Saccharomyces cerevisiae S288C: one gene and its partners. Changing the gene in region 1 together with any one later gene gives a genetic interaction. Each region holds a gene or a part of one and is shown in the gene's direction. Other genes may lie near its edges.

What was found.
Region 2: mutations in CTF18 (region 1) and MRC1 are lethal when combined (synthetic lethality), as found in Saccharomyces cerevisiae (8 studies listed by BioGRID, with this or other methods).
Region 3: mutations in CTF18 (region 1) and CLB5 together harm fitness more than expected from each alone (negative genetic interaction), as found in Saccharomyces cerevisiae (5 studies listed by BioGRID, with this or other methods).
Region 4: mutations in CTF18 (region 1) and SRS2 are lethal when combined (synthetic lethality), as found in Saccharomyces cerevisiae (10 studies listed by BioGRID, with this or other methods).

What each region holds. Positions count from the first base shown.
Region 1 is NC_001145.3:422,003-426,350, reverse strand, and holds CTF18 (Ctf18p), read left to right. Parts: upstream 1-1,622; coding exon 1,623-3,848; downstream 3,849-4,348. Other genes in the region: phosphatidylinositol/phosphatidylcholine transfer protein SEC14, read right to left, coding at 292-1,197, 1,354-1,362; ESCRT-III subunit protein VPS20, read left to right, coding at 4,202-4,348. UniProt on the Saccharomyces cerevisiae protein: Essential for the fidelity of chromosome transmission. Required for the DNA replication block checkpoint.
Region 2 is NC_001135.5:17,989-24,105, reverse strand, and holds MRC1 (chromatin-modulating protein MRC1), read left to right. Parts: upstream 1-1,999; coding exon 2,000-5,290; downstream 5,291-6,117. Other genes in the region: MIC10 (Mic10p), read left to right, coding at 1-74; ADF1 (Adf1p), read right to left, coding at 181-522; FYV5 (Fyv5p), read left to right, coding at 125-583; ribosome biosynthesis protein KRR1, read left to right, coding at 727-1,677; VAC17 (Vac17p), read right to left, coding at 5,545-6,117. UniProt on the Saccharomyces cerevisiae protein: Required for normal DNA replication. Phosphorylated in response to DNA replication stress. Phosphorylation allows it to mediate the activation of RAD53.
Region 3 is NC_001148.4:773,188-777,017, reverse strand, and holds CLB5 (B-type cyclin CLB5), read left to right. Parts: upstream 1-1,835; coding exon 1,836-3,143; downstream 3,144-3,830. UniProt on the Saccharomyces cerevisiae protein: Required for efficient progression through S phase and possibly for the normal progression through meiosis. Interacts with CDC28.
Region 4 is NC_001142.9:255,351-261,594, forward strand, and holds SRS2 (DNA helicase SRS2), read left to right. Parts: upstream 1-2,072; coding exon 2,073-5,597; downstream 5,598-6,244. Other genes in the region: TOK1 (Tok1p), read right to left, coding at 1-1,462; GWT1 (glucosaminyl-phosphotidylinositol O-acyltransferase), read right to left, coding at 5,730-6,244. UniProt on the Saccharomyces cerevisiae protein: ATP-dependent DNA helicase involved in DNA repair at least for UV-induced lesions. The polarity of the helicase activity was determined to be 3' to 5'.

The sequences.
Region 1 (4,348 bases):
TCTATAAGATAAATGTATATAACTGCCAACAAAATAAACTAAAATCAAGGTATGGCTGTAGAAAATGATACCACAGATAATAAAATAATAAATAATCTAATAGCTGAGTGGAAGAAAAAAAAAAAATAAAAAAAGAGTAGTACAAACTAAGGAGATAAAAGTGTGAACTATGCCTATTCAAAAAAGTAGAATAGAGTAAATAAGCATACTTGTACTTATCTCAGTTGTAAAATATCGTTACTTAGAACTCCTCTTTTCTCTCTCGAAAAAAAAATGTCTTTAAAAATAATATCATTTCATCGAAAAGGCTTCCGGAGCTTCACCTTCCGGTCCAATATACTTTGGATCCCTCCATGGACCGATATCGGATAGGTATAACCCACCCTTGGATTCATCAACTTCAGACTTACCGCCAAATTTGACTGGTAAGTTTTCAGCTGGAATTTGCTTTAATAATTCCTTCTGGTAAGAAGAACCCAAGATAAAAATCTTTGAAACAGTGACTGGATCCAAGAAAGGTTTAAATAGCCTAAATGCGGTAGAGAAACCGAATGGCGCGTTGATGATGTAAAATTTACCCATACGTTCGGGGTAATAGTTTTGACTTATGTAGGAGGCTTCCCTAACATATGACATAACACTGTATGCACTAGATATGGAGATACCTTTCAAATCCATAATTGTACATGAAGTTTCCACTAGGTGACCAGCAGCTCTTGAACAGGCAGGTAATCTGTATTGAACGACAGATTCGTATTCCCAAACCAAGTTTTTCAACATCCTCTCTTCAGAGGTAACCTTGTTCATTTCATGTAAGTTAACAGCACCTAATTCTTCAAAATATACTGGGCGGCCATCTTTATCGGTTTTATGATAATATTGTGGGTAGAATTTGGCAATCAATGGTTTTTCATCATAATGAAAATCTTGCAAGATAGTGTCGGTACCATAATCCTTCCTCCATTTTTCGCAGTTTTCAAACATTTCTTTAGCCAATTGAACATCAAATTTTCTGGCTCTCAAAAAACGTAGTAAAGTTGAATCGTCTAAACGTTCAATGAAACCAGCGTCTTCCAAAAGTTTTCTTAGTTCTGCCAATGCCTTCTCTTGAGCGCTGTCTAAATTTCCTGGAGTACCAGGCAAGGCATCTGGAGGACAGTTTTGAGGGTAGGATTCTAAAAATTCCTTTTCTTGTTGCTATTTAAAGTGAAGTCATAGTAATACCACTTGTGTTTGTTAGTAAACTTATTGATATATCATTTTTGCTTCATATAGACAGAACTATCTGAAGAATGTGAATATTGTCACAATGAATGTCAAAAAAAGAAAAAGTAAATAAAAGCAACAACATACTGTAACCATTGTGTTTTAGGGCGATGAAGGTTTGGTTTGATGCTACAGGCGCTGGTCAAGCGATATACCAGGAAAGGACACTTAAGACACAAACAAAGGAAGATGTACCATTTTATTGTTGATCAACGTTGAAAAAAAAAATGTGGAAAAAACGAACTAGCCAGTCGCGTTGTACGGAACATCTAACACGTAAATAAACATGATTTCATATATTTTATTCCTAATGTGTACACTATTTGACCCAAAAGGTGGATGTAAGGTCAGGGATCATGGTTGATACCGCACCATACATTGGTTCACTAGGGAGAAGTTCCCTTTTTGATACTGGTGATATAGAACAAGCCCCTGGTAATAATGCAATTGGTATTAATGAGGAAGATATTCACGCGTTTGTATCAAGTACTGGCGAAACGGTTCAATTAAAGAAGAAGCCTGCGAAGTTAGCAACCGGGAATATTAGTCTATACACTAACCCAGATACTGTTTGGAGATCAGACGACACGTACGGCATCAATATAAACTATTTGTTAGACAAAATTGAGGCATCTGGCGATGACCGCACTAACGCACAAAAGACTTCACCTATAACTGGCAAGATAGGTAGCGACACACTCTGGGTAGAGAAATGGCGTCCTAAAAAATTTCTAGATTTGGTTGGTAATGAAAAGACAAACAGGAGAATGTTAGGTTGGTTGAGACAATGGACGCCGGCTGTGTTTAAAGAGCAATTACCCAAATTGCCAACCGAAAAAGAGGTCAGTGATATGGAACTCGATCCATTGAAAAGGCCACCAAAGAAAATTTTACTACTGCACGGGCCACCAGGAATAGGCAAAACCTCAGTAGCTCACGTTATTGCCAAACAATCAGGGTTTTCTGTCTCAGAAATCAATGCAAGTGATGAAAGGGCTGGACCTATGGTAAAAGAGAAAATATATAATCTTTTATTCAATCATACTTTCGATACAAATCCTGTGTGCTTAGTGGCGGATGAGATTGATGGAAGTATTGAGAGTGGATTTATTAGAATTTTAGTTGACATTATGCAAAGCGATATTAAAGCCACTAATAAACTATTATACGGTCAACCAGATAAAAAGGACAAAAAGCGCAAAAAGAAAAGGTCTAAATTGCTTACGCGACCTATTATTTGTATTTGCAATAATCTATATGCTCCTTCTTTGGAAAAGCTGAAACCATTCTGTGAAATTATTGCTGTGAAAAGACCTTCCGATACTACCCTACTAGAGCGATTGAACCTTATCTGCCATAAAGAAAACATGAATATTCCTATAAAAGCAATCAATGACTTAATTGATTTGGCTCAAGGTGACGTAAGGAATTGTATAAACAATTTACAATTCTTGGCCTCGAATGTTGATTCAAGAGATTCCTCTGCATCAGATAAACCTGCTTGTGCAAAAAATACGTGGGCGTCATCCAACAAGGACTCCCCCATATCATGGTTTAAAATCGTGAACCAATTGTTTAGAAAGGATCCACATCGTGATATAAAGGAGCAGTTTTATGAATTGCTAAACCAAGTAGAGCTTAATGGTAACTCTGACAGGATATTGCAAGGCTGTTTTAATATATTTCCCTACGTAAAATATTCCGACAATGGTATAAGAAAGCCAGCAAACATTTCAGATTGGCTATTTTTCCATGATTTAATGTACCAATCAATGTATGCGCATAATGGCGAATTGTTACGTTACTCCGCCCTTGTGCCCCTAGTCTTCTTCCAAACGTTTGGCGATATCGCAAACAAAGATGATATTAGAATGAAGAATAGTGAATACGAACAACGTGAATTAAAACGAGCCAATTCAGATATAGTTAGTCTGATTATGAGACATATCTCGGTTCAGTCCCCACTAATGGCAAGTTTTACGGATAGAAAATCGTTAATCTTTGAAATACTACCATATCTAGATTCGATGATCTCTTCCGATTTTAATAAAATAAGGAACCTGAAACTCAAACAAGCCATCATGGAGGAATTAGTTCAATTGCTGAAAAGCTTTCAACTGAATCTAATCCAAAATCGGTCAGAAGGATTTGATGTAAGGGGTGGCCTAACAATCGATCCCCCAATCGATGAAGTCGTATTGTTAAATCCTAAACATATTAACGAAGTCCAACATAAACGGGCTAATAATTTGAGTTCACTGTTAGCAAAGATTGAGGAAAACCGGGCCAAGAAAAGGCATATAGACCAAGTGACTGAGGATAGACTACAGTCACAGGAAATGCATAGCAAAAAAGTCAAAACTGGGTTAAATTCTTCCTCAAGTACAATCGACTTTTTCAAGAATCAGTACGGATTATTGAAGCAAACTCAGGAATTGGAAGAGACACAAAAAACTATTGGATCAGACGAAACCAACCAAGCAGATGACTGCAATCAAACGGTTAAAATATGGGTGAAATACAATGAGGGGTTCTCTAACGCTGTCAGGAAAAATGTGACTTGGAATAACCTGTGGGAATAAATGACGTAAGATATATACGCAGTCTCTCTTAAGAAGCATACTTGTATATGGACCAGCAGCTTACATAGAAATCTAAAAGAAGTAAATAAAGAACATTAGCAATCAATCCTGCCGGTAGTCGCAACAGCTCCGATTTTGTCACGCAGCGTTCGTTTTTTATTCGTGATCTTTTACCCTCTTCGCTATCGTTCTTATTTCTACATAAATGGAACCCCGAAGAGCAGAAAGACCGAAAATCGAATTACTATCTGTGGGATACAATATAGCGCATAGAAAAGAACAAAACATAGATAGTTTGGAAAAATAGTACAGACTGCTGAATTAACTCCACTTGGTGCTTTTGTATATATCGAATGGGCCAAAAAAGTAGTAAAGTGCATATAACCAAAACAGATAGGGCGATCCTAGAAGTAAAACGATCTAAAGATGAAATTCATAAGTTTACGAGGAGGACAGATAATTTGATTTTGGTAGAGAAGAGTCAACTAAAAGACCTAATA
Region 2 (6,117 bases), on another chromosome or scaffold:
GTGTTGGAAGAGGCTACGCCGAGGGCGACGCCATCTTTAGATCCAGCGCTGGCCTCAGATCCTCGAAGGTTTAGTCTTAAGCGACGATGCTTTATATATATTCAAAAAAAAAAATAATAAAAATATGCAGTACCATTCCGCTCTATATGTATATATTTACGTAACTTTCACCACTATTCCCTATAAGGAAAAGCCGGATATCATTTCGATCTGCTTCAGCATGCTGTCGTTTGTTTTTGATTTTTCTGTCCGAATTTGCTCTCGTACCTTGGAGTCCTTTTCCTGGTCCTTGATCAGCTCCTCGGCTTTCAAAGTAGTCTCAGCTTTCAGTTTAGCTGGCTCTTGTGTACTTGCCTCCCGCAGCAGCGTCGGTATCATTGTTTCACTACTTTTGTTTAACTTTTCCACTTGTAACTTTGTTCTCTTCCTTTCAGCGGTGCTGATCGACCTCTTTTTTTGTACTTTCTTGCCAACACCAACATTCTTGCCCACACCTTTCTTTTTCATGCTACACTTGCCCATTTTTTCCTTGCTAAATGCCCTTGAGTTATTGTACCTTATTATAGCAGGCTTGCACATCTGAAAACGAAAATTTTTTTTTCCTTATATTTCTAATTCTTTTAGCGATGAGATATGAAAATTTTCAAAAAAAAGAGATGATGAGGTTAACTATTGTAAAGTAGACAGCAAACAAAAGGGTCACACAAATATCCAAATTGGCAAACGATGGTGTCTACACATAACAGAGATAAACCTTGGGATACGGATGATATTGATAAATGGAAGATAGAGGAGTTTAAGGAAGAGGATAACGCATCCGGTCAACCTTTTGCTGAAGAGTCCAGTTTTATGACTTTGTTTCCTAAATACAGAGAAAGTTACTTGAAGACGATTTGGAATGATGTAACAAGGGCTCTAGACAAACACAACATAGCGTGTGTTCTAGATTTAGTCGAAGGTTCTATGACAGTAAAAACAACTAGAAAAACATACGATCCCGCTATCATTTTGAAAGCCAGAGATTTGATCAAATTATTGGCGAGATCCGTTCCTTTCCCGCAAGCCGTTAAGATCCTACAAGATGACATGGCATGCGACGTTATTAAAATTGGTAATTTCGTTACTAACAAAGAAAGGTTTGTCAAGAGAAGACAACGTCTTGTAGGCCCTAACGGTAATACTTTAAAGGCTTTGGAACTTCTAACTAAATGTTACATTCTAGTACAAGGTAACACAGTAAGTGCCATGGGTCCCTTCAAGGGCTTGAAGGAGGTCCGTCGAGTAGTAGAAGATTGTATGAAAAATATTCACCCTATCTATCATATCAAGGAATTAATGATAAAAAGAGAATTGGCAAAAAGGCCAGAGTTAGCCAATGAAGATTGGTCAAGATTCTTGCCCATGTTTAAGAAGAGGAATGTGGCCAGAAAGAAACCCAAGAAGATCAGAAACGTCGAAAAGAAGGTCTATACTCCATTTCCTCCTGCCCAATTGCCTAGAAAGGTTGATTTGGAAATTGAAAGTGGTGAGTATTTCTTAAGCAAGAGAGAAAAGCAAATGAAGAAATTAAATGAGCAAAAGGAAAAGCAAATGGAAAGAGAAATCGAAAGGCAGGAAGAGAGAGCAAAAGATTTCATAGCTCCGGAAGAAGAAGCATACAAGCCAAACCAAAATTAGTTTACACCGCTACGGAATCCTTCATATATGTCTATATATATATAGAAACACACACACATTTCGTTTACTTAGATATGTTTGTAAAGTGAAAGAAATTCTTACTAGGACACCAACTCTACTGGCTCTCATATGCAGAGAGATATACATCAATACTTGAAATTTTCCTTATCCTTCTTCGACGCGTCATGAAGAGATAGAATGCGTAAAACGCGTTTGCTTCAATAGCATTTCAAACACATTATGTTGGAAAAAAACCAAGAACAGACAAACAACTAAGGAAGTTCGTTATTCGCTTTTGAACTTATCACCAAATATTTTAGTGATGGATGATGCCTTGCATGCTTTGTCCTCGTTGACTGCAAAGAAGAGAACTACCACCTACAAAAAAGTTGCTGTTCCCATACTAGATGAGAACGATAATACTAATGGAAATGGGCCCAATGACATAGACAATCCGCCAGAGTTGACTGGGAACGGGTTTTTATTTGCCAATGCCACATTAAATCGTGTTAAGAACAGATTAGAAGGCAAGAAAGCACCCGAACAGAATCACAATAATGGAAAAGATAGGAGTGAGAATTCGTTACCAACTCAATTAATCTCTAATCTTTACGATGGTGGTGAAGAGCTGGAGAAATCCGAAGTTAAAGATAATAGTTACAGTGAGAAAAATGTCTCTTCTTCATTCACGCAGACGCAAAGAATACCTGTCAGCATCCAACAAGACAAGGTGTTTAACGTACCTATCCATTCCGTTAATGACGGGAAACCCACCCAATTAATCAAAGAAGATGGTCTCGTCAACGAAACTTCTCAAGCGCTGAAAACACCTCTCACGACAGGACGGCCAGGGGCTACACAGCGTATAGATAGCAGCGGTGCAACCTCACAAACTCAGCCTATAAAATCAATTGAACCACAATCCCAAATAATTACGACTTCCAGCAATCATTCTAATGCTCTGTCGCCGAAAATTCCTATAATTCCAACGGAACTTATTGGAACTAGTCCTTTATTTCAGTCCATTCAAAATCGTGGTCCTGACACCCAAATGGATGTACCACCACAGACTGCGCATGATGAGGATAAGACACAAGCAATTGGTATTCCACAGGCTACGCATCAGGAACAGAAAACCCAAATAGATACAGTCGCACAAACACTTCAAGATGAAGTACCACACACATTAAAAATTCGGGAAATACAAAGCGAATTGGCTTCAGAAGATTCTAAAAGGGAAAAAGCTAGAAATGTCGAATACAAAAAACCGCAAAAGCCAATACCAACCAAAAAATTTTTTTCTAAAGAGTCTTTTCTTGCTGATTTTGACGATTCGTCCTCAAATGAGGACGATGATATAAAGCTGGAAAATGCACATCCAAAACCAGTACAGAATGACGATGAACTGCATGAGAACAAAAGTGTTGAATTAAATCTAACTGATGAGACAAGAATAAATGAGAAAAGGGTTCCACTATTGAGCTCCTATGCTAATAATTTGAAACGGGAAATTGACTCCTCGAAATGCATAACACTGGACCTCGACAGCGACAGTGACGAATATGGAGATGATGATATGGATAGCATTAAATTATCCAAAGATGAAAGCGTTTTGCCAATCTCTCAGTTATCAAAGGCGACTATATTAAACCTGAAGGCAAGACTCTCTAAACAAAATCAAAAGTTGTCTCAAAGGCCGAATAAAAGTAAAGACCCAAAAGTTGATCATAATGTACTATTAAATACCTTAAGGAAAGCTAGCAGGAAACAAATTCTGGATCATCAGAAAGAAGTGATTGAAACGAAAGGTCTGAAGCTGGAGGATATGGCCAAAGAAAAGGAAATAGTAGAGAACTTGCTAGAACAAGAAATTCTTAGAAATAAAAGAATCAGACAAAAAGAGAAGAGAAGGGAAAAACTTGAAGAAAATGACTTTCAATTGAACGCCCATGATTCCGGTTCTGACTCAGGGTCAGAGTCTTCTGGATTTGCATTGAGTGGTAATGAAATTGCCGATTATGAATCATCTGGTAGTGAAAATGACAATCGTAGAGAATCCGATAGTGAAAAGGAAGATGATGAAATTATTCTAAAGCAAAAAAAATCCCACCACGTGAAACATATCATTAACGAATCAGACTCTGATACCGAAGTCGAAGCCAAACCCAAAGAGAAAGCTGATGAAAGTCTACCGAAAAGGATCGCCATTAATCTGGGCCATTACGGTGATAATATCGGAGAGGATACCGACAAATTTCAAGAAACCAATGTTCTAGATACACAAAACATTGAAGAGGTGATGGCCGAAAGAAATACAATCGAAAATGAAGTCAAAGATGATGTATACGTCAATGAAGAAGCTGATGAAGCAATTCGCCGTCAGCTGATTGACAAAGAGAAATTGCAACTAAAACAGAAAGAAAAGGAGCACGAGGCTAAGATAAAAGAGTTGAAGAAAAGAGGTGTCACAAACTTCTTTGAAATGGAAGCCGAAGAATCCGAGGATGAATGGCATGGTATCGGTGGTGCAGATGGAGAAGGATCTGACGACTATGATTCTGACCTAGAAAAAATGATCGATGATTATTCCAAGAACAATTTCAATCCTCATGAAATCAGAGAAATGCTTGCCGCAGAAAATAAGGAAATGGATATCAAAATGATAAACAAAATTCTTTATGACATTAAAAATGGAGGATTTCGTAATAAAAGAGCAAAAAATAGCTTAGAGCTAGAACTAAGTGATGATGATGAAGACGACGTACTACAACAATATCGTCTCAAAAGGAGAGAATTGATGAGAAAAAGGAGATTAGAAATTGGCGATGATGCAAAGCTTGTTAAAAACCCAAAGTCGAGCGCATTTTTTGAAAGTATGGTGGAAGATATTATCGAATATAAAAACCCCTTCGGGGCTGAAGAGGAATATAACCTAGACATTACAAGTACGGCTACTGACCTAGATACTCAGGACAATAGCATTAATGTAGGTGATAATACGGGAAATAATGAACAGAAACCTGTAGATCAAAAGAACAAAAAGGTTATCATATCTGAAGACTTTGTGCAGAAAAGCTTATCCTTCCTAAAAAGTAATAATTATGAGGATTTTGAAACGGATAAGGAGCTATCAAGGATACAACATGGCAATGATGAAGCAATTGAAGATTTATATACCCTAAAACAGAATAGTTCGATAAAGTCATTCACAAATTCTCAAACTGATTCGACCACTTCAAAAACAGTAAACACAATAATTGACTTAGAAAAGCGCCCAGAGGATGAAGATGAGGTGGAAAATGGAGATACATCACTAGTTGGCGTTTTCAAACATCCATCAATAATCAAATCCTTTGCGTCCAGAACAGACATAAATGATAAGTTTAAAGAAGGTAACAAGACAGTCAAGATTCTAAAGTCTTACAAGACAGTGGGGAGTTCAAAAGCTTCTATCACATATATGGGGAAAACGAGAAAATTAATAGCACCAAAGAGGAAAACTGAAGGGAGCCACCGCTACCACCATGACCATCATAATAAAAAAATGAAAATGAAAACGAAAACAAAATCGAATAAACTTTTTGAAAGCGGACAAGATAGCTTTGATAATTAGTGGTTTTTTATCTTTTCCGAAGAAGTTGATTGAACTCCAGAAGCTGTCTTGAAGTAGTCGCATTAAAAAAGATGGCACCCGAGTCTAGGCCAAGCCATAGTCATGTTATGATAGGATTTTATAAGACAAATATTATAAAGAAGTTTAATAATAATACAAAAAGATACAAAAAAACTTGAAGATATTCTGAATAAAAAAAAAAAGAATAAACATTTGGAGCAAAAGAAGAGTAGGTTAGGTAAAGGAGGCATTAATTAAAACAGCAGTTCTGTATTCAAAGCATCTTGCAATTCTTCTATAGAGACGCTTATATCCATATTATTTTTTTGTTCCTGTGCTACATTATGATTTGATATTCGTTCTTCATTCATGCCCTTATTCTTTCTCCCCCTCTTACTTTGAAAAGATTCTGATATTGTGCTTAACGATGAATTAAACTTATCCATAAAAGATGCATGCTTAAGATTTGTGTTGTTCTCTTTTACCGTATGTGTATCTGATCGTGCAATGAATGATGATAACAACGCCTTAGAACTTGAAATACGAGGACCATTACGACTAGGAGCCATTGTCGCTGCAACAGTTGGATGACAGTTCACTTGGACATTTGATATCGAAGTTCCAAACGTCGGATTAGATGGCCTGAAGAATGAGGCGGAGAAACTTCCCAGATTGAGCGACTTAGAAGGTGCTGGTTTGTTAGATAGTATACTTTCGTGAGAGTTATATCTCCTTAAAGGTTCGAATTCAGCACCCTTTGCGGTCACACCAACATGTGGAGGGGTACTTATGTTTGGTAGAATGATAGTATCTTGATCAGAATCAAA
Region 3 (3,830 bases), on another chromosome or scaffold:
AAAGGAATATTGGGTCAGATGAATGGACGCGAATGCAAGACAGAAGTCCAAATCACGTCAAGACAAAGAAAGAAAGAAAGAAAAACTAACACATTAATGTAGTTTTAAAATTTCAAATCCGAACAACAGAGCATAGGGTTTCGCAAACAAACTTAAATATATGCTAGAATAAAAATTAACTATCATCTATTGACTAGTATTCATATATGACGTAATAAAATGAAATGTAGATTCATTTTGTAGATTCCTATATCCTCAGAGAGAATTTTTGGTATATCCTATATGCATAATATTATAGTCTTTGCCAACAATCGAAACCAAACATATATCTTAAAATACACCACTTTCTCAAATAAATTCGTTAAATAACGGTGTGTTGAAATGTTTACCGTAACTTGTAACAGCTCTAACAACTCATACCTGCTATGTACTGATTCCAAGAAAAAAAAAATGGAAGGTCGGGATGAGCATATACAAGCACTAAGAAGAACAATACAGAACTCTACACGGTATTATTGTGCTACAAGCTCGAGTAAAACCGAGTGTTTTGACGATACTAACGTTGTTAAGAAAGTAACTTGTTATCAAACTCATTACCAACTTGTGATTAATTGGTGAATAATATGATAATTGTCGAAATTCCATTGTTGGTAAAGCCTATAATATTATGTATACAGATTATACTAGAAATTCTCTCGAGAATATAAGAATCCCCAAAATTGAATCGGTATTTCTACATACTAATATTACCATTACTTCTCCTTTCGTTTTATATGTTTCATTCCTATTACATTATCGATCTTTGCATTTCAGCTTCCATTATATTTGATGTCTGTTTTATGTCCCCACGTTACACCGCATGTGACAGTATACTAGTAACATGAGTGCTACCGAATAGATGACATTTTAGACTTTCATTCCAACAACTTGGTTGACAGAATGTTACGTACCCTATATCTAATCTATATGAGGCCTGAATCTAACTGAAAGGTGGAATTTCAGTAATTTATCAAGCTTTAATAAGTTTGGGTAGTTTAACTGTGCAAAAAGGTATTTACCTTACATACTGAATCTTGTCTGTTTGGTAGCGGCTGCTTTATGGGTGTTTCATAGATGTCCAAAATATATTGAGATATTGAGATATAACATTCTAGGATAATCAAAATTACCATAATTCAAAAGCTCGTATGGCGCAGTGGTAGCGCAGCAGATTGCAAATCTGTTGGTCCTTAGTTCGATCCTGAGTGCGAGCTTTCTTTTTTAGACTACTAATTTTATTTTGCTAGTCATTTTTTTTTTATACTCAAAAAGTAAAAAGACTACGAGTATATTCAAAGTAAAAAACGAACGTCAAACTATCTCGATTAAAACTTGTCATACTGTGGGTATCATATTCTGTGCCCTCAGTGAAAAGAACCAGCAAAAGAACGCGCATCTCGAGTGAAGACGCGCCCTTGATGGTACAAAATTTAACGGGAAGGCGCGTCGTGATGTTCACGCGCTTTGCCCACATTGGGATAGCGCCCACAGCATATCTGTGCTAAACTCACTTTTCCTAGTGACTGCCGATAGCTACTGCCATCTACCGCGAAGGGAACTTCATTTGCGTTCATCGGTTTATTAGAAGCTACTTGGAACTAATTCTTAAGCTTCTCAAGAAAAGTTTTTTTTCTGTCTATCTATTGAAGTCTTTTTGTCTTTGTACTTCAAGAGACTCAATCACCTAAAGCTTTTCACGGCCAATTAGTTGTCTCACACAAAGCAAAATAAGCTTAATAATTAGCAGTAACGCGCTTTTCCCTGTATTTAAAGCCGCTGAACACCTTTACTGAACAATGGGAGAGAACCACGACCATGAGCAGAGTATTAAAAGAAATTCTATGATTTATAATGAAAATGAGAGGCAGTTGTGCAATTCAAACCTAAAGATTCTTCAAAATAAAAGGGCCCTTTCAAAAAATGACAGCTCTAGTAAGCAGCAGGTTCAGGATTCTAAACCAAGAAGGGCTTTAACAGATGTACCAGTGAACAATAATCCTTTAAGCCAGAACAAGAGAATAGTAGCAGGGAGCAAGGCGGCCAAAGTACGAAGAGAAGAAAACATTAGACCTATTGTTAGCGCCGTTCAAAAAAGACAGATATATAACGATCGAACGGCAGCAGAGCAAGAAGAAGAAGAAGAAGAAGAAGGAGAAGATGATGATGCTGCTTCGATAGTGAACAAAAAACGCAGAATAGACGCTGAAGGAGTGAGTGAAATAGTAGGCTGGCAGGACCTAGATTATGTTGAAAAAGATGATACTGCAATGGTAGCAGAATATTCTGCTGAAATTTTTGCATTTTTATATAGAAGAGAATTAGAAACGTTACCATCGCACAACTATTTACTCGACAAAACGTCCAAGTATTATTTGAGGCCTTCCATGAGAACAATATTAGTGGATTGGCTGGTAGAGGTGCACGAAAAATTTCAATGCTATCCGGAAACGTTATTCCTATCCATAAACTTAATGGATAGATTTTTAGCTAAAAATAAAGTTACGATGAACAAGTTACAATTATTGGCAGTTACCTCACTTTTCATCGCGGCAAAATTTGAAGAGGTAAATTTGCCCAAACTAGCTGAATACGCTTATATCACTGACGGCGCGGCTTCTAAAAACGACATAAAAAATGCGGAAATGTTCATGCTCACTTCCTTAGAATTCAACATTGGTTGGCCCAACCCACTCAATTTCCTAAGGAGGATCTCCAAGGCAGATGATTACGATCCGGTTAATAGAAATATTGGTAAGTTTATTTTAGAGTATGCCTACTGCTGCCACCAATTCATTCATTTACCTCCATCTACCGTAAGCGCAATGGCAATGTATATAGCGAGAAGAATGACCAACAGAAACAAGAACGAGCTATGGAATGGAACACTACAGCATTACAGTGGTGGTATCGATCCAATACACGATGAAGCGTTTCAGTCTCTCTGCATTGATCTAGTCAAAGACATCGCTAGTTCCAAAACTCATTTAGATTCATTGATTTTGAAGTACAAGAAACCAAGGTATGGCTCTGTTTATTTCCAAACTTTCAAGTGGTGTACATCCGAAATGCATAGCAACTTTCAAAATCTATTTAATCTTAAGTAGATTAGTACTAGTAATGCTCATGAATTCGCATACTCTTTACATTTTCTTTTCTTTTTGCTGAACTAAAAGGAAAAAATTTTTTGCATCTATCTATCTATCTATATATATGTATATATAGTTTATAGTGATATGCGTGTTCACTTCAACATATATAATACCACCAGTATTACTACTATTATCATCATTAATATTAGAATTTTTTTTGTTTTTAAATTTATTCTTTTATTTTTATTATTATTATTATCATTATTACTATTAAAAAATTATTATTATTAATGTTATTCCAATGTTAATTATAATAACTATACTGAAATAATTTTAAAAGAAATGAAAAATGAGAAGAAAGCAGCATTTTTTAAGAGACTAAGGTTATGATATTTCCCATAATATCAACATCCGATACTGATGCTTTTCTTTGTCTACCCTCGCTACATGCATCCGGAAACGGTTGAACTGAAATAGAATAAAACTTATGGTACAAATCTGAAATTAAAATTAAAAAATTAAAATTAATGGTGTGGTGTTATTAGTGAGAATAAAAATGGAGTTTTATTTTGGAAATCTTAGGCTTCGAATGATTTTTTATCGTCAGTTTAAAAATAACAGAATGAAAGGCGCTAAAATTGGGTGTGAAATTTGTAAGAATAAATGGAAATGTGAAAAGAAATGATTAAAAAGCAGCCATAC
Region 4 (6,244 bases), on another chromosome or scaffold:
GACGCCCATTAAAAACGATGGACTTGACTTTATTATTGAATGATTCACCGATCTTAATATCCAGAGAAGTGGAAATGTCAAACAACAGATCACCGACTGTAGATAGGATAGCCCCCATTAATGGCACGGCTCCCAACGCCCAAATCACAAAAAAAGCACGGCCTGCACCAGTCCTTGGAGCATAGTCTCCGTATCCAATGGTTAATAAGCACAAGAAACAAAAGTAAATACAATTGAAGTACGACCAATTTTCTGCGAATTTGAATACAAGAGCTCCCAATAACCAAAAAGCCATGAAAATTGCAATAGTCACCGACAAAGAAAACCAATGCTGCTTCCTTGAGGCCGTTTGTCGGATACACTTCATTAAGTCGAACGCTTCCCTTTCAGATAAATTTTTACTACTATCCATATAATGTTTCCACGATTTGGACCTGCCTTTTTCAACTCTGTGGAAAAAGAAAATTGGGCCAGAGGACTTTTGAATGATGGATCTTGTCATAAACACTATTAAACCCATCAAGACAACACCAGATAGCGAAAAGATTAAAACCATGATTTTGGCGCCAACCGACTTGGGCAGGATGTCACCTAGTCCCACGGTTAATAATGATACCGTGCAGAAATATAATGCATTTCCGTAAGTGATGTGCAATAAACCGCTAAACATACCCGCACCCCAAATCAACCATAAAGACAATAGTACAGTGTATGCCATGATACTTCTTTCATTGGGCAAAAGGTTGAACGTTGGAGGATATTTTCCTAATTTATATCCAATAAAATGTATTGTTAAAATAATGGTGCATACCAAATATAGACCAGAACTGATACAGGCAAACCAAAATCCGATAGTCTTACTGTAGATGCTGGGCATGTCATTCAAGGAGCATACAATCACGTCCACCAAAAGCATCCCTCCAGCTATTGTCCATCCTGTTATATTTATTAACTGAGATTTAAGATACGTCAACTTCTTACTGAAATGTAGCATTAGTATAATATTTGACGTAAAACCCAGTACCAAAGAGATGATATTAACGGCAAAAATACCAGGAGGATCAAAAACTGTCTTTACTTGATTCATCAAAACATCGGTGTCATTGCTTCGTGGATTTGTCACCACGGAGTTGTTCTTTAAGGATCTCCATTTTTCAACTACACAGGCTATCGAGATAGTGTTAGCTACGGGACCCAAGCAGGCAGTAATCACAGGGAAATAGCATGAAACCACAAACCAAAAGACGAACAGTGTTGAAGAAGGCTCTGCATTAATAATACTAACTCTTTCGTCCCGGAACCGCAATGCATCCTTTAGTTCCTCTGCAAGAACACCCTTAGCTTGCTTCGGTGTGTTGTTTGAATGAGAATCAACAGCCTGAGCTGAGCTCTCTTGCTCCACTGTCGCCATATTGCCATATCCCAGCGTTTGTTTGGCAAAGCTGTTCATGAACCTTGTCATATATATAGAAATCGGTAAAATAAATACAAGAAATATGCTTTGTTATACTGCTAGAAAGGAGTGAAGACATCTGCTCACGATCTACGAGATGCGGCTATTTTTGATGGAAAAAGATACATAGGGTCAGGCATTTTTGCCATATTGAATAACCAAGATGGTACTGAGTACTCAGGTAATGTATATTACATTGAGTACTTCACTTGTATACACAACCACTGCTTCGTATTGTATATCAAGTATCTAACTGTTGATAAACTACAACTTTCTCTTCAACCATAATGATAGCGCCGCTTAAAACATGCTAGGGTAACGAGACGCGAATGCGAAAAACTCCCAAAAAAACCAAAACAAACAAAAGTGACAACAATTAGAACGATGCTGAAGAAGAATAGGAGCGAGTTTAGAGTTACCTCCAGCTATCCTGATACTACTGCTTAGGCTACCTTCGCAGAGTCTCGATAAATTTGCAGTCGGCAAGATAAGAATATTTCTCTACAGCTTTTAGACAGCTTCCTGTCCCTCTAGTTTCTTTTGCCATCCATAATTGTACTCTGCACTTTGAGTATCATTCCAATTTGATCTTTCTTCTACCGGTACTTAGGGATAGCAAATGTCGTCGAACAATGATCTTTGGTTGCATTTAGTATCCCAGTTAAATACTCAACAGAGAGCAGCGGCCCTCTTTGATTACACTAGAGGGCTGCAGGTCATTGCCGGTCCCGGCACAGGGAAGACTAAGGTTTTAACTTCAAGAGTAGCGTATCTTATTCTGCACCACCATATTCATCCCCGCGATATTATAGTGACTACTTTCACTAACAAAGCTGCTAACGAAATGAAAGAGCGTTTGCAAGAAATGTTACGCGGGGCAGGCGTGAATATTTCGGAGCTCTTAATTGGTACTTTTCATAGTATTTGCCTGAAAATACTTTATAGATTTGGCCACTTGGTGGATCTACAGAAAGACTGGAGAATTATTGATGAGAAGGAAATAGATGTCATTTTAGATGATATGATCGAAAAAGTTCCCGACCAAATAAGGGATTATGCTTCCTCAATCACAAGGAAAGTAAATCTTTGTATGCCGAGTAAAAATGGAGATGAATGGACTATTCATCCGAAGCTGATCAAGAAACAGATATCAAAGCTAAAATCAAACGCAATATTACCTGAGGAATACATCTTAGATTCGAATCATGACGCCGCGCTTGGTTACTTTTACCAAATATACCAATCAGAGCTAAGCAAGAAAAATACGTTAGATTTTGATGACTTATTAATGTACACCTTTCGTTTGCTGACTAGAGTGCGTGTTTTATCCAACATAAAGCATGTTTTAGTTGACGAATTTCAAGATACTAACGGCATTCAATTGGACTTGATGTTTCTTTTTGCTAAGGGAAATCATCATCTTTCGAGGGGGATGACCATCGTAGGTGATCCTGATCAAAGCATATATGCTTTCAGAAACGCCTTAGCGCACAACTTTCTAGAAATGGGCAGAAAATGTCCCATCGAGTACTCAACTATCATACTTGTTGAAAATTATCGTTCATCACAAAAAATTCTAAATACAAGCGAAATTTTAATAACGCAACAAAACAAAGGTCGGCAGAATAGGGCTCCACTCCGTGCCCAATTTGACCTGGATTTTCCACCAGTTTACATGAATTTCCCCGCTTACTTTTTGGAAGCACCTTCTTTAGTTCGGGAACTACTATATTTGAAGGCATTGCCAAACCTATTCACATTTAATGACTTTGCTATCCTAGTAAGACAACGAAGACAAATTAAAAGGATCGAAAGTGCATTAATAGAACATCGGATACCCTATAAAATTATTAGGGGCCACAGTTTCTGGGATTCCAAGGAAACAAGAGCGATGTTAAATTTATTAAAATTGATATTTTCTCCGAATGACAAACATGCAATTCTTGCTTCACTTTTATATCCAGCAAGGGGCCTTGGTCCTGCTACCGGTGAGAAGATTAAGAACGCATTGGACACGTTAGCTACCGATGTGTCATGTTTCCAAATATTGAAAGACATAAGTAGTAAAAAAATAATGCTAGACATACCGACGAAAGGCCGTTCTGTGATTGCTGACTTCATTTCAATGATAGAAAATTGTCAATTGTTGCTCCAGAGCACTTTACTAGGGGGTCTTTCAGATTTATTTGATAAGCTATATGAATTATCAGGTCTGAAATACGAATACTTGTACAAGGATGGTAAGAAAAAAAATGATCAGCTTGAAAAATCCGAACCTAATTTATTAAACGCAAGACATAAGAATATTGAACTTTTGAAAAACTATTTCCTGGCTCTTCTTTCCAAGTCAGAATCTTCAGATAAAGAAAAAAATGAAGCCATTAAAGCAGCAACAGATGAAGCCGAACCAATAGAGAACAAGGTCATCACTCCAAAAGAATACCTCCGTAATTTCTTCAATTCACTTTCCCTTCATTCTGATGCAGCTGAGGAGGAAGAGTCGGAATCCAATAAAGATGCAAAAATAAAACGTGAGAAGAATGGGTTTGTCACGATATCTACAATTCACGGTGCCAAAGGTCTTGAGTGGCCGGTAGTTTTTATTCCTGGATGCGAAGAAGGTATAATTCCTTGTGTGTTCAACGATGATAAGAAAGACGAATCAGAGGAGGACGAAGAAGAAGATCAAGAAAATAGTAAGAAAGATGCAAGCCCAAAAAAGACTAGAGTTTTATCCGTGGAAGATTCTATAGATGAGGAAAGAAGAATGTTTTTTGTTGCACAGACTCGTGCAAAATACCTGTTGTACCTATCAAATACTGTAACTGTGGAAGATGTCGATAGACCAAGAATTGCAAGCCGATTTTTGACTACTGACTTGATAAAAGCCATGTCCGATAGCCAAAAATTATTTGAAAGTACGAATAGTATCAAAAAACTATACCGAATTTTGAACAAAAAGCCGCCTGCTGAAGATGATAAACTATTCTCCCTTGACCAATTGCGCAAAGACTATAACCAATTCATTGAAAATAGGAGAGAAAGGATGATTTGGCAAGGGATACAAATGAATGATGTCTATGGAATACAGTTGTCTAGAAATAAATTATTGGGTTCTGTTAGTGATTTCACGTCAGCTGCGGACCAGTTACGACTCGAAACGCAAAACTCTATATTCCCACAGAAGAAACTTATTGAAAAATCACGCCCATCCAAAATCAATGGCAATTACGCTCCTAAAAGTAGAGTTAAAAGTCCAGAAAAAAGGTACGCTCCAGAAACTACATCATTCCATTCTCCTACAAAGAAAAAGGTGTATGCACCTCAATACGTTTCAACAACTAATGTACCTAGTAGGCAGGAGTTTCATTCTTCTACTGGGAAAAATATTCCTTTTCTGAGAAGAGAAGATAGGTCCATCACAGACATATCACCACGATCATCAACGAGGTCGTTAAAAGGAGCATCTCCAAATAAGACGAGCCACATGTCAGATGATTTAATGAGACCATCACCTACGAGGAAGGACAAAGTTACTCGTAATATTCATTTCGCAACTGCAGGAACTTTCAGAATAGAAACCCAGTCAAATGTTGATGAACTGCATCCTCCGGAATACTCCAATAAATCAGGGCAGTCGCTTACGTCGAGTGAATTTTCTGGGTTTTCTAGCGCGTGCAGTAATTCTGATCAGCCAACGAACTTAATAGAAGATATAAACAACGAATTAGATCTATCCGATGAGGAGTTATTAAATGACATATCAATAGAAAGGAGGAGAGAGCTTTTGGGCTCGAAAAAGACGAAAAAAATAAAACCAAAAACTCGAAATAGAAAGTCTAAGAGAGGTGACAAGGTTAAGGTGGAGGAAGTGATAGATTTGAAGAGTGAATTTGAGGAAGATGACAGCAGAAATACAACAGCTGCTGAGTTATTACATAATCCGGATGACACTACAGTTGACAATCGTCCAATAATCTCCAATGCTAAGTTTTTGGCTGACGCAGCAATGAAAAAGACACAGAAATTTTCCAAAAAGGTGAAGAATGAACCTGCATCAAGTCAAATGGATATATTTTCTCAGCTGTCACGTGCGAAAAAAAAGTCAAAATTAAACAACGGTGAAATCATAGTCATCGATTAGTAGCACTTTCATGCCTGACTACGTCAACTATTGGAGGCGGTTTATAATTTTTATTTAAAGCACATAGGAGTTAATTTTATTTTACTGGTAGGGTTTGTATACGAACTACATGGAAATGTGGATGGTGTGTTATTATAGCTTAATGAATATTCTTTTTCTATACAAGAAAACCGATATGACAGCTATGAATGAGCAGTATGCCAACAAAACCAGGAATGATTTTAAGGGTGAAGAATCTATCGTGACCATAGACATATTGACTAAACCAGTAGAGACATTTGCCAACAAAAATAAAAACAACCCATTGGAGTTGATTGATTCCAAGCATTCGGCAACTTTATAATATTCCGAAGAATTACCGAAAATTTTGTCAGTCAAGCAGTACCCAGTCAAAAATAGTAAATTATAAGTAATGACCCACAAAGTATATGGTAAGTTAGCAAACCTTCTTGAAACACTATAAGGATGGTATTGAAAAACCAACTGGCTGATAACAAGAAAAATTGTACTCCATATACAGAGGCCACTTAATGGGGTTACTGAAGTCCAATAGTCCCAAGTCGAAGACTTCTTTGATGCTGCAACTACGTCTTGCGTAGAAGGCTTATAAAGATTGTTTAAAGTTGGTTTATTTCCCAACAAGTAAA